Linked DNA regions of Macaca fascicularis. The protein of the gene in region 2 purifies or fractionates together with the protein of the main gene of each other region. This does not show direct contact. Links are inferred from orthologs where the notes say so. Each region holds a gene or a part of one and is shown on either strand. Other genes may lie near its edges.

Region 1 (6,101 bases), on a different chromosome or scaffold from region 2:
CAAAACTTTGGGAGGACGAGGTGTGCAGATAGTTTGAGCTCAGGAGTTCGAGACCAGCCCGGGGAACATGGCGAAACCCCATCTCTAATAAAAATACAAAAATTAGCCGGGCATGGTGGCACATGCCTGTAGTCCCAGCTGGGACTCACTGCAACATCCGCCTTCTGGGCTCAAGTGATCCTCCCACCTCAGCCTCCCGAGTAGCTGAGACTTTATGTTGGGATCACCGTGCCCAACCCATTAAAATCTTTTTTTTTTTTTTTTGTGAGACAAAGTCTCACTGTGGCCCAGGCTCCAGTGCAGTGGTTCGATCTCAGCCTCCAGTGAAGTGGTTCGATCTGGGCTCACTGCAACCTCTGCCTCCCAGGTTCAAGCGATTCTTCTGCCTCAGCCTTCAGAGTAGCGGGGACTACAGGCACCCACTACCATGCCCGGCTAATTTTTGTATTTTAGTAGAGAGGGGGTTTTCCTTGTTAGCCAGGCTCATCTGGAACTCCTGACATCAAGTGATCCATCAACCTCGGCCTCCCAAAGTGCTCGGATTACAGGCATGAGTAAATTCTTTACAGGAATTTTCACTACATTCTATTAAACAATAAATTAACCTAAGTCTTAAGTCATGCCTTTAACAGCTCACATATTTCATTATCTGTAACAATTTCAATGTCAAGGAATATATTACTGTCCTGTTCACTGTGAGCATTAAGTGTTTTCATCTTAACTAGAAAATAATGCACCCACCCACAAAATTTCAGGGAAGAGAGGAGGGTCAAGTATCTTTAGACGCCCATAACATAGATTCTAAATTAAGAGTCCCTGCTGCTCTAAAGAGAAGGGATATCACTGTAGTAAGCAACACTATTGTAAACAATATTCCCTATCCATATTGGCAGAGAAACATGGTGCCAAGCTGGTTCTTGCCTTAAGCCAAAAGAAACTCCAAGAAAAATGAAAATAGTCTAAATAAAAACAAATAGAAGACATGATTGTTGCACAACACTGTCAGTGTACTAAATTCCACTGAACTGTATGCCTTAAGCTGGTTCATTTTATGGTACGTGAATTTCACCTCAAAAAAAAAATCACATATATATGATTAAGTGTATCTCTCATATAGTGAGTTCTTACCTCATATAATGAGAGACACATTTAATCACATGCTAGATATGGACATAGCCAGAGTCTCCAAAATACAGGATGGCAAAAACTGACATCTTCATTAGAAGTAACAGAAAAAGTAAACAAAATAGAGCTCAAGAAAAAAAAAAACAAAAAAACTCAAATATTTGCTGAAGTGCCTCAAAAATCAAGCTGCTCCTTTGGGGGAGAAAATGTTCCTTCAGAAGAGCCAGAGAAATAAGCAAAGCCATGACGGAATTTGAACTCACACTACCTTTCTACCAGATCAAACCAGACAAGTCACGGCTGTTCTGAGGATTTATGATATGGCCTAAGGCCATTGTTAAACAACAAAGCTGCCAGAGTCAAAGCACATAATCACTCTTACTTGCCCTGACCAGAGTGTGATGTCACTGCATTTCGGAGTAGGCCTCCCTGCACAGGATTACATATCCAGATTTAACATAACCTAGTTTCTATGAAATATAGGTTGTCAAAGTCCCTCCTCTCCTATACCTCCCTCCAGTTCCCTAAAAGAGAAATTGAGCAGCAAAATAAGATTAATACCTTGGGTAGAATAAGGTCAAAAAAAATTAATAGGATCTTAATTCAAATGGCTCTCTGGGAAGCCAAATTAGTTCGTAAAGTCCCTAAACCCTTCTTTTCACAAAGTTGGACTTTACAAAGCTCAGTGCTCACAGTAAAAAACAGAACAAAGTTAACCAAATTATAAAGCAGAAATGTCATTCCAGTAATCTTTTATTGTAAGGGTGAGAGGTGCCAAATTCATTTCTAATCAAATATTCAGTAATAATGCAAAGACAATAGCATCATCAGGTATTATTTTTCTCATAAGAAATTACGACACAAAAGCTAAAATCACCTGTGATTTCTACTTAGACTACAAAGTAGCTTCTTAATATTATATAGAAGCAAAGGAGTTCAAAAGCCTCCCAAAGTGCTGGGATTACAGGCGTGAGCCACCGCGCCCGGCCTACATCTAATTCTTAACCAAAATAACATTAAACTCTGGAAAACTTAAGCCTGGAAGGAAAGAAAGGACAAGAGAAAGGAGAAGGTGCCCTATTTAATATATTCCTTGCTCAGCTTGGTTCAAACCTGTGCCTAAAAAGTTAGTACTTCAAAATATGGATCTTTTAAGGACGGAAAGAATGAAAGAACTGGACTTGAGTTTCTTCATACACAGTCAGAATATTAGATTTATATTGATTTTACCACCCAGCTTTTAGTGAGGATGCTTGCATTATACATCACCCTTTCTGCTTCCTTGAAAGTTTCAACGGTTAAGATACCTGCAAACAGTTCTCACCTTACCAGCACGCTTAGTCATCACTGGAATGTGTTACACGTTTTCTTATAGAGCTGCACCTCCTTCATCTGCTACTTTCTATTATTACTTTGTAAGTGTACCCTGAGGCTAAGCAATTCAAGTATACAAGGAAGGTAATTAATAATTTAAATTGATTCTCATTGAGACCACCTTCTTTCTTAGTCATTCTGCCTTTGTAAGTTTAATGCATTTTCTTTTAAACCACAATGGTTACGATAAGTCTTTGGCGGTTTTCAAAACATTTTTTCTTTTCAAAAGTCAAGTTTGGCTGGGCGCTCTGGCTCACGCCTGTAATCACAGCACTTTGGGAGGCCGAATAGGGAGGATCGCTTGAGCCCAGGGGTTCTAGACTAGACTGGGCAACACAGTAAGACCCTGTCACTGAAAATATAAAAATAAAATAAAATAAAAGTCAAACGTTTAATGAAGCATCCGCGTGAGTTCAATGAAAGCCTGTCCCCCCACCCCACCCCTCCAACAGAAGACTGCTCTTGAAAATAAGCAGCATTAACAAATTATTTGGATTCAAATGATAAGGAAATAACAGTAAGTTCCAGTTTCTTTACTTTCAGCTTAATCTACAGCCTTTCCCAAGCCAGACCATTCCCGCAGAGCCCAGAAAAAGAAGAAGAAAAAAAAAAAAAGGTGGGTTAAGATTTACCCCCATTTGCTTCCCCCTCTCTTACATCGGGTCAATTCTGGAGGTTACTCTTCCTCCAAGAGTCAGGAATGCCTCTTCTTTCCCCAGGTGGTCAAGATTCTAGCGATATGCTCCTCCATTACGGAGCAGGGAAGAGGTTGTCTCTTACCCTCAAGTTACTGGACAGACGACGTTCGCCCATCAATGAGCAAACGGGTTTTTCCCTTTCGCTTTTGCTGGACACGTCTCAGACTCTTAGTGACTCTTAGTGAACGACGCCGAGCGGGGAAGAAAGACGGTTCCCCCCACGGCCTCCAGGCTCTATCAGCCACACCCCTGGCCTCTGGTCCTCCTAAACCCCCAATTCCGAAGTACATCTTACCCTCATGCCCCCAACTACTTGCTGCCACACCCGAGGATTCCCTCACCGCACCACAGTCATCATGGTGGAGACCCTTTCTCCAACCTTTTTCCTCTCACTGGTCACACCCGACGGTTCCCTGTATCCTCAACGGTCACGCTCTTAGGATATCCTCGCTTCCGCCGGTCCTCGACCCAGCCTGGGGTTCCCCTTCTTTTCGTCCCCCACCCCGTCAATTAGGGACACACCCCAAAGGCAGCCTCCCTGAACTCACCGGAGGCGGAGGCGAAGTCGAGGGCGGGGGTGGCGGCGGGAGCCGGAGAGCACAGCCCGGGTGGTGGTGTAATGGTTTCCTGCCCGTCACGATTCTTTTCTAGGTCTAAGCCACTGCGCAAAACCCACTTTGCCAGGGACAAAGATGGTGGGCAGGAAACTCTGACGTCAGAGAACGTCGCCGCGTGACGTCATCGGGGTGCGCGGGAGACCTAGCAAGGCGGTAATCTCTGCCGCCTTCCAGCCCCAAACATTTCCCATGGTCCCAGCAAAGCTGGCCCATCTGGGCCTCAGAGGATGTTAAGTGGCTACTCCAAAGGAATATATTTAAAAAGCTGACAATGGATTTGTTACCTCGCACAGAAATTCTCTGAAAAACGTAAACACAGAGATGATGAAATATCCTGTTCCTTTGTGAAAAACAAAACCCCTCAGCTCATTTTCCTTCCAGGCTCAAGAGCGGACAATGGTGATATAACCCAGGCCTATATACGGGCAGTGGGGCTAGAGGATAGTGGTGCAGGTAAAAGAGGTTGAGGAGGCATTGGATGTGAGTTTGAATCCCTACCCTGAATGTGACTGGGAAAGTTAATGTCTCCTCAATCTTCTTATCTGTGAAATGAAGACAATGATAGTATCTCTCTCGGGCATGTGAAGCGTAAACCAGATAAATTAGGTCAAGTGCCTAGTATATAATAGGTGTGCTTACACAAAAGTAAGTTTCTTTCGGAAACTAAGACCTAGATTCCAGGACCTGGAACTGGAGAACAAGATTGATGAGGTTAAATGAACTAGCTGTCCCTAAGGTTAATTTCAGGGTGTAAGGAAGGATGGAGAGCAAAGTGATTATTTATTTTTCTCACATTTTGCCCATGAACTCTGTGAGTCAGAAAGTGTTTAAGTATTTTAAAACTTCATTCTTAAAAAAGTGATCAGAAGTACATTAAAATTTTGTATAACATACTCATGTATTATTATTTCCTCTGTTATTAAAATAGAGGAATAGGGGAAATTGGAAAGCCAGGTATAAAGAGAGATAATGTAAACACTTATGGTAAATCAGATAGCTGCATAATGTTATAGAATATTTTATGACAGAAAATTCATAAAGTGTTAAGTAAAAATAGGATACAAAACAATATAGTATATGGTATGACTATATATGTATAGAAAAAAAAAAGGCTAGGATAGGCCAGTCATGGTGGCTCACACCTGTAATCCCAGCCCTTTAGGAGACGGAGGTGGGCAGATCACCTGAGGTCAAGAGTTTGAGACCAGCCTGGCCAATGTGGTGAAACCCCGTCTCTACTGAAAAAACAAAAATTAGCTGGTGTGGTGGCACATGCCTATAATCCCGGCTACTCAGGAGGCTGAAGCAGGAGAATGACGTGATCCCAGGAGGTGGAGGTTGCAGTGAGCCAAGATCTCGCCACTGCACTCCAGCCTGGGTAACAAAACCAGACTCGTCTCAAAAAAAAAAAAAAAAGCTTGGATATTCAGCACAATGTTAAAAGTGGTTATTGCGGAATAGTGAGAGTTTTACTTTTCTTCCTAATATTTTTCTGTACTTTTCAAATACAATGAACATGTATTTATTTATATGATTGGGATGTGCCTTTTAAATCATATTGTTGAAAAATATGATACAGAAAAATGCTTTGAAATGATAAGAATAAAAGAAAGATACAAAACTCTAAATCCAGAGGCGTATATATACCTATTAGTGGTTCTCTCTGGGTGCTGATTACAAATGTTATCTTCTTTATATTTGTTTTATTTTCCAATCCTTTCTCTGAAAAATGCATATATTTTAAGGAAAAATGAACCAATGCTATTTTCGAAATACAGCATCAATCCAAAAGCTTTTCCAACCTCATTCTCTTCCACTTTTAGGTGAAAGTATTGACCAATCTCCCTTCTTTTCACCTTTTGGGACCATCACGGGCTCATAATCTAATGGGAGATCACTCAAGAAACTGTTGAAATGATCCAGCCACATGATGATGGTGGTTTAAACAAATAACTGTTGATATTTATTGAGTATGATTTTATGTCGGTTACTCTGCTAAGTACATTTTTACATCCTCACCACCTACCTGATAACCAGGCAGGTACCATTACTTCCTCTATTTTAAGAGATACAGAGAAGTTAAAAGGTAGAATTAAGATGGCCGGGCATGGTGGCTCACGCCTGTAATTCCAACACTTTGGGAGGCCAAGGCGGGCGGATCACGAGGTCAGGAAATCGAGACCATGCTGGCTAACACGGTGAAACCCCATCTCTACTAAAAATACAAAAAAGTTAGCCAGGTGTGGTGGCAGGCAACTGTAGTCCCAGCTACTGGGGAGGCTGAGGC
Region 2 (5,397 bases):
TTTGTTGTTGTTGTTTTGAGACGGAGTCTCACTCTGTAACCCAGTTTGAGGACGGCGGCACTATCTCAGATCCTGCAACCTCCGCCTGGGGCTTAAGTGATCCTCCCACCTCAGCCTCCCTAGCTGGGATTACAGGCCTGCGCCACCACGCCTGGCTAATTTTGTATTTTCAGTAGAGATGGGGTTTCACTATGTTGGCCAGGCTGGTCTCACACTCCTGACCTCAAGTGACCCACCTGCCTCAGCCTTCCAAAGTGCTGGGATTACAGGTATGAGCTACCCTGTCTGGCCCCAACCAGATTTTGACTTGCTAAAACCATACTTAAGATATTAAATGCCACAAACTACCACAGGGTTATTTTACACAAAGAGAATTATAACCCCCTAAAAAGGCTAATTTTTGATTCTCTGCTTGAAACAAATCAAATTCCATCTAATGAAAGGTAAATTGGGCCAGGCACGGTTGTTCACAACTGTAATCCCAGCACTTCGGGAGGCCAAGGCAGGTGCATTGCGAGGTCAAGAGATCGAGACCATCCTGGCCAACATGGTGAAATCCTGTCTCTACTAAAAACACAAAAATTAGCTAGGTGTGGTGGCGCATGCCTGTAGTCCCAGCTACTTGGGAGGCTGAGGCAGGAGAATCACTTGAACCTGGAAGGCGTAGATTGCAGTGAGCTGACATTACGCCACCGCACTCCAGTCTGGCAACAGAGCAAGACTCTGTCTCAAAAAAAAAAAAAAAAAAAAAGAAAAAAGGAAAGTCACGCTGGGCACGACGACGGCTCACACCTGTAATCCCCAACATTTTGAGAGGCTGAGGCGGATGGACCACCTGAGGTCAGGAGTTCAAGACCAGCCTGACCAACATGGAGAAACCCCGTCTCTACTAAAAATACAAAATTAGCCAGGTGTGGTGGCACATGCCTGTAATCCCAGCTACTTGGGAGGCTGAGGCGGGAGAATCGCTTGAACCCGGGAGGTGGAGGTTGTGGTGAGCTGAGATCATGCGACTGCACTCCAGCCTGGGCAATAAGAGCAAAACTCCATCTCAAAAAAAAAAGTCTGTATAATTCTGACACTCCATTTTTACAATATTCAAAATATTGATTCCTGTTTTGCTCCTTCATATTCAAGAGAAGCCACCAGAACTTAGAGTACAGATTCAAAAGCTGGGAGCTCAGTCGTCTTAGTTGCATGCAGATTCTTTTTCGGAGACAGGGTCTGGCTCTGTCACCCAGGCTGGAGTGCAGTGGCATGATCATGGCTCACTGCAACCTCCACCACCTTAGCCCCCCAAGTAGCTGGGACTACAGGTGCTTAAAGAACTTTGGTCTCTTAAAATGCTGGGATTACAGGCATGAGCCACCATGCCCAGCCTGCATGCAGATTCTTGACTACCTCCTTTCTAACTAGAAATAGCTGCAGGGATAAAGCAACTGGTTGAATGTCCCAATGCTACATTGAGGAGGGAAATATTAGGCAGAATTACCTGGCCACTAGATCTCCTGTTTCCAAAATCATCTCAAGGGCATAAGGTGATAAACAGAAGAAAATTCCTGTTTTATAGAACAGGCAGTGATAACGAAGGTTATTTTGCCTGAAAAAACTGGGAAACTGAAACTTTGTTACCCAGTCTAAGAATTTTATTTAAAAATAACTTGTTTTTACTGAATAATGATGGAATATATGACATTGCTTTATGTCCCTCTAGACTGATAACTCCATGGTTGGTGGCCCCATTTCTGTGATTTTATACGCCCTGCTTATGCTGTTATCATGGCACCCTTCCACTGTTTCTAATGATCTTCCTATTTTAGACATCTCTGAAAGAATGCAGAGTAAACATGAGAAGTTAGTGAATTAGATCTCTCCGAATAATTAAAGATTGTTTAAATCCTGACAACCATTTATTTATTTATTTCATAAAACTGGCATTTACATTTTTTAAAAGTGACTATATAAGTTTAATAGTTTTACTTTCTATTCAAATAATCTCTGGCCCTATCCTCTGATATAATATTTGCTGACTGGTCTCAGAAATCATTAAAACTTTATACACAACCACACATACACAGCCGCAAATGCACAAACTTATTACTGGCATTGTTCATCTAGTGGGCAGACACCAATGACTCTGTAATTGTTCATTAAGTCATCATCACCCATAACCATTCACAAAGTAACAACTGTTAGGATTTTACTTATATTACCAAGACTAAGAGAAATATTTACAAAACAACTTGTATATATGACAAAAACTAAGACTACTAAAATCATTTGTGCAATGGAACAACCACAGAACTGTCAAAACAGGATCAAACAGAGGTTTTTCTTGGGGGAAGAACGAAAGATTATTTTTAGTATCTTGGTAAATTTAGTTAAAATGATGCAAACTTGGCAGACTCCAAAATAATCTTTGAAAACTCTTCAAAGATTTTTCCCCCAAAAAACTCATTCACAGTACTTACAGCACTGAAGTTGGCAAAATTGCTTGGATCAGCCTCTCTATTGGTAGTGGTAGTAGCAGAAGAAGTGAATGGATCACAAAACATTTCAGGATCTTTTTCTTTGGGGCTATCATTGCCTGGGAATGGCTGAAATGGATCATTCAGTTTAAAGGGATCAGGAGAATCCAGTTTGTTGATGGATCTTTTCCCTGGATCAAAATCATCACAATTAATTCAACCAGTAAATACAGCAAATACAAGCACACAAGAACATGTACACAGATAGCATTAAAGTACCGTGGGTAGAGGATGACTAAGTACCTAAAACACATTCTTGTCTTAAATGGCAACACCAACTATCTGTCCTCAAATTCTTCACACATGATCTCTCAAATAGATTCCAGCTATGTGCAGCTAATGAAACAAATAGCAAAGCAAGGATGGGCCAGGAATCATATTTTTGTCCAGAGATTGAATACCACCATCCCCCAGCCACAACCAAGCAGCATGTTCCCAAAAAGAGAGACGAATGGATTAAACAGAAGGAGAATAATAAAGAATAAAGACAGAAATGGCCTGCCTCTGCTGTTATAAACCTCAGCCTGATAACAGTTATCCACTAGTGGCAGTAAGAGCAAATGACCTCTGAAAAATGGGAAAATTCTTCTGATTTTTCTCTAGTTCTAGATACAATACCTAGGAGCATAAAATTTTAAAATTACTGTAGTAAAACCCTGCCAATTTTTTGTTATTTACTGTATTTCAAAATGAAGAAAAAATGTTTTGAAGCCCAGGGCCTAAATCTTTGTGGTTGCTGATCAAATAATCTCTGACCCAACAATAGTATTTTGTCCTATTAGTCACTCACTAATTCATTACCATTTTCAAACAAGTTCTCTAAGTCTTACTTAAACTTAGTACTTCTTGAAGAAAAGATAATAAAATTAGGGATCAAAATATCTCTAAATATATTTTTTTCCTAAAATGCGTAAGCTGGTAATAGCAATCATAACACAACAGATTCCATCACTGTAGCTGCTTAGAAAAGATGCTCATATCTCAATGGATCCTTCCAATAATCCTGTGAAAGTAGGCAAAATTAGAATTGCTGCCAATATTTAACAGCCAACGGTCAGATATATGAAATTATACACTTAAGATCACAGTTAGGGAACATCCAGAAACAGAACCTAGATTTTTAGACTCCCAGTTCAGTGCTCTTTCCAACAAACCAGTCTTTTCCTTAATCTTTTTACAATGATATACAATCACTTGGTTGAAGATTCTGAGATTTAACAAAAGCACTAGCATATTATTTTACTTAAGATTTAAAAAAACAACCTCACTATTAGCATCATGCAAGTGTAAAAAGTTAAATGTGCAAATTAACCATTATTTATTTTTAAATATATTCTGGCAACCTCACTTCTAGAAATATATGACATAAGCTACTTTTCCTTAGAAGGAATCACTTAACTCATTTACCTGATTTTTCAACAGATTATCAGGTATTAACAATTGTACATGCAATCCTTTCAGTCAAAGAAAAAAAACTTACCTGCTCAAGACCATGGAAAGGTTATGATGAAAAGGCAGTATTAATCTGTAACTACTTAGACTGAAAATTTCCCAAGGAATGAGGTATGATTTTTTAAAAAATGTACTAAAATGTGTCTTCTCACGTAATAGCCCAACAGCACTACAACTACTCAAGGAATTATCCTTTTACCCACTTATTATGACCTAAAAACAAAACAAACTTTCCTTTGTATAGTGCTAAACATATACATACACACACATACTAATCATACAAACAAAAATAAGAGAAAAATCACTATTAGAAAAGAGTCTTGGCCAGGCGTGGTGGCTCACACCTATAATCCCAGCACTTTGGGAGGCCGAGGTGGGCAGATCACCTGAGGTCAGGAGATAGAGACCAGTCTGGCCAACATGGTGAAACCCAATCTCTACTAAAAATATAAAAATTAGGTAGGCATGGTGGATCATGCCTGTAATCCCAGCTACTCGGGAGGCTGAGGCAGGAGAATCCCTTGAACCCGGGAGGCTGAGGCTGCAGTGAGCTGAGACTGTGCCACTGCACTCCAGCCTGGGAGACAGAGCAAGTTTCCATCTCAAAAAAAAAAAAAAAAAAGGAATCTTTTAAGTTAGCTAAAATACCATTTTCCTTCAAGAAAACCAATACTTTGTTTCAAATCACTATATTGCTGAATTCTGGATACTAAAGAGGCCATATATTCTTACATTAAAGGACTTAAGGAAGACTTTATATGTTACGGGAAAAGGACTTTGAAACAATCTTCTCTTAAATAAATTATAATTAAAACACCAAAGTACAGGAAACTGCTATTCAAATGGATAATCAATGAGTTTCTAAAAGGCAAAGAGATTTTCTTGACACTTTCCCTTTTCCATTTACTGCCTCTCTGAAATGATTAAGTTAAAAAAAAAAAAGAAAAGAAAAACAGGTTTTAGCAGAAAGACAGCTCATGAAATGTACACATGCTGATCTCTTAGGTGCATGTCTGTAATTCGGCAGTTAGGTCAGAATGAATGACAGCAGGAAGCTTCTGACATATGTTTGACTTGTTTCATTTAAAGCCCTCTATATAAGTAAGCTCCACACAATACTTTTCAGAAAGAGAAAAGCCATGTAGTTGACTGAAGAAAAGTACCAAATCTCATACCAGGTGGTGGTGGGCAGGGTCTTGTTGGAGTTCCGACCTTTGGTGGCAGCGCTGGGGGTTCGTCTTCACTTTTCACCGATGTTTCCTCAAATACATTTTTTGTAATCATTGCATTGCTTACAGAGCTCGATGTGGCTGAACTAAAAGGATCTTCATTGTTGACCTTTGTTTAAAAAGAAATGGTTATACATGGCTACACCAAGCAAACTGTGGTAGTCATGTAGCATTTAGAATAATGACTG

The links. Proteins that work in one complex are often made in the same cells at the same time.
Region 1: the proteins of EPS15 (region 2) and AP2B1 purify together in Homo sapiens (affinity purification with mass spectrometry; 3 studies listed by BioGRID and IntAct, with this or other methods). This does not show direct contact. The link is inferred for Macaca fascicularis from reciprocal best matches to the Homo sapiens genes EPS15 and AP2B1.

The regions. Positions count from the first base shown.
Region 1 is NC_088390.1:41,888,118-41,894,218, reverse strand, and holds the start of AP2B1 (AP-2 complex subunit beta), read right to left. Parts: upstream 3,853-6,101; 5' UTR 3,577-3,852; exon of another isoform or gene 3,493-3,576; intron 1-3,492. UniProt on the Homo sapiens protein: Component of the adaptor protein complex 2 (AP-2). Adaptor protein complexes function in protein transport via transport vesicles in different membrane traffic pathways.
Region 2 is NC_088375.1:183,374,432-183,379,828, reverse strand, and holds part of EPS15 (epidermal growth factor receptor substrate 15), read right to left. Parts: intron 5,319-5,397; coding exon 5,156-5,318; intron 2,660-5,155; coding exon 2,472-2,659; intron 1-2,471. UniProt on the Homo sapiens protein: Involved in cell growth regulation. May be involved in the regulation of mitogenic signals and control of cell proliferation. Involved in the internalization of ligand-inducible receptors of the receptor tyrosine kinase (RTK) type, in particular EGFR.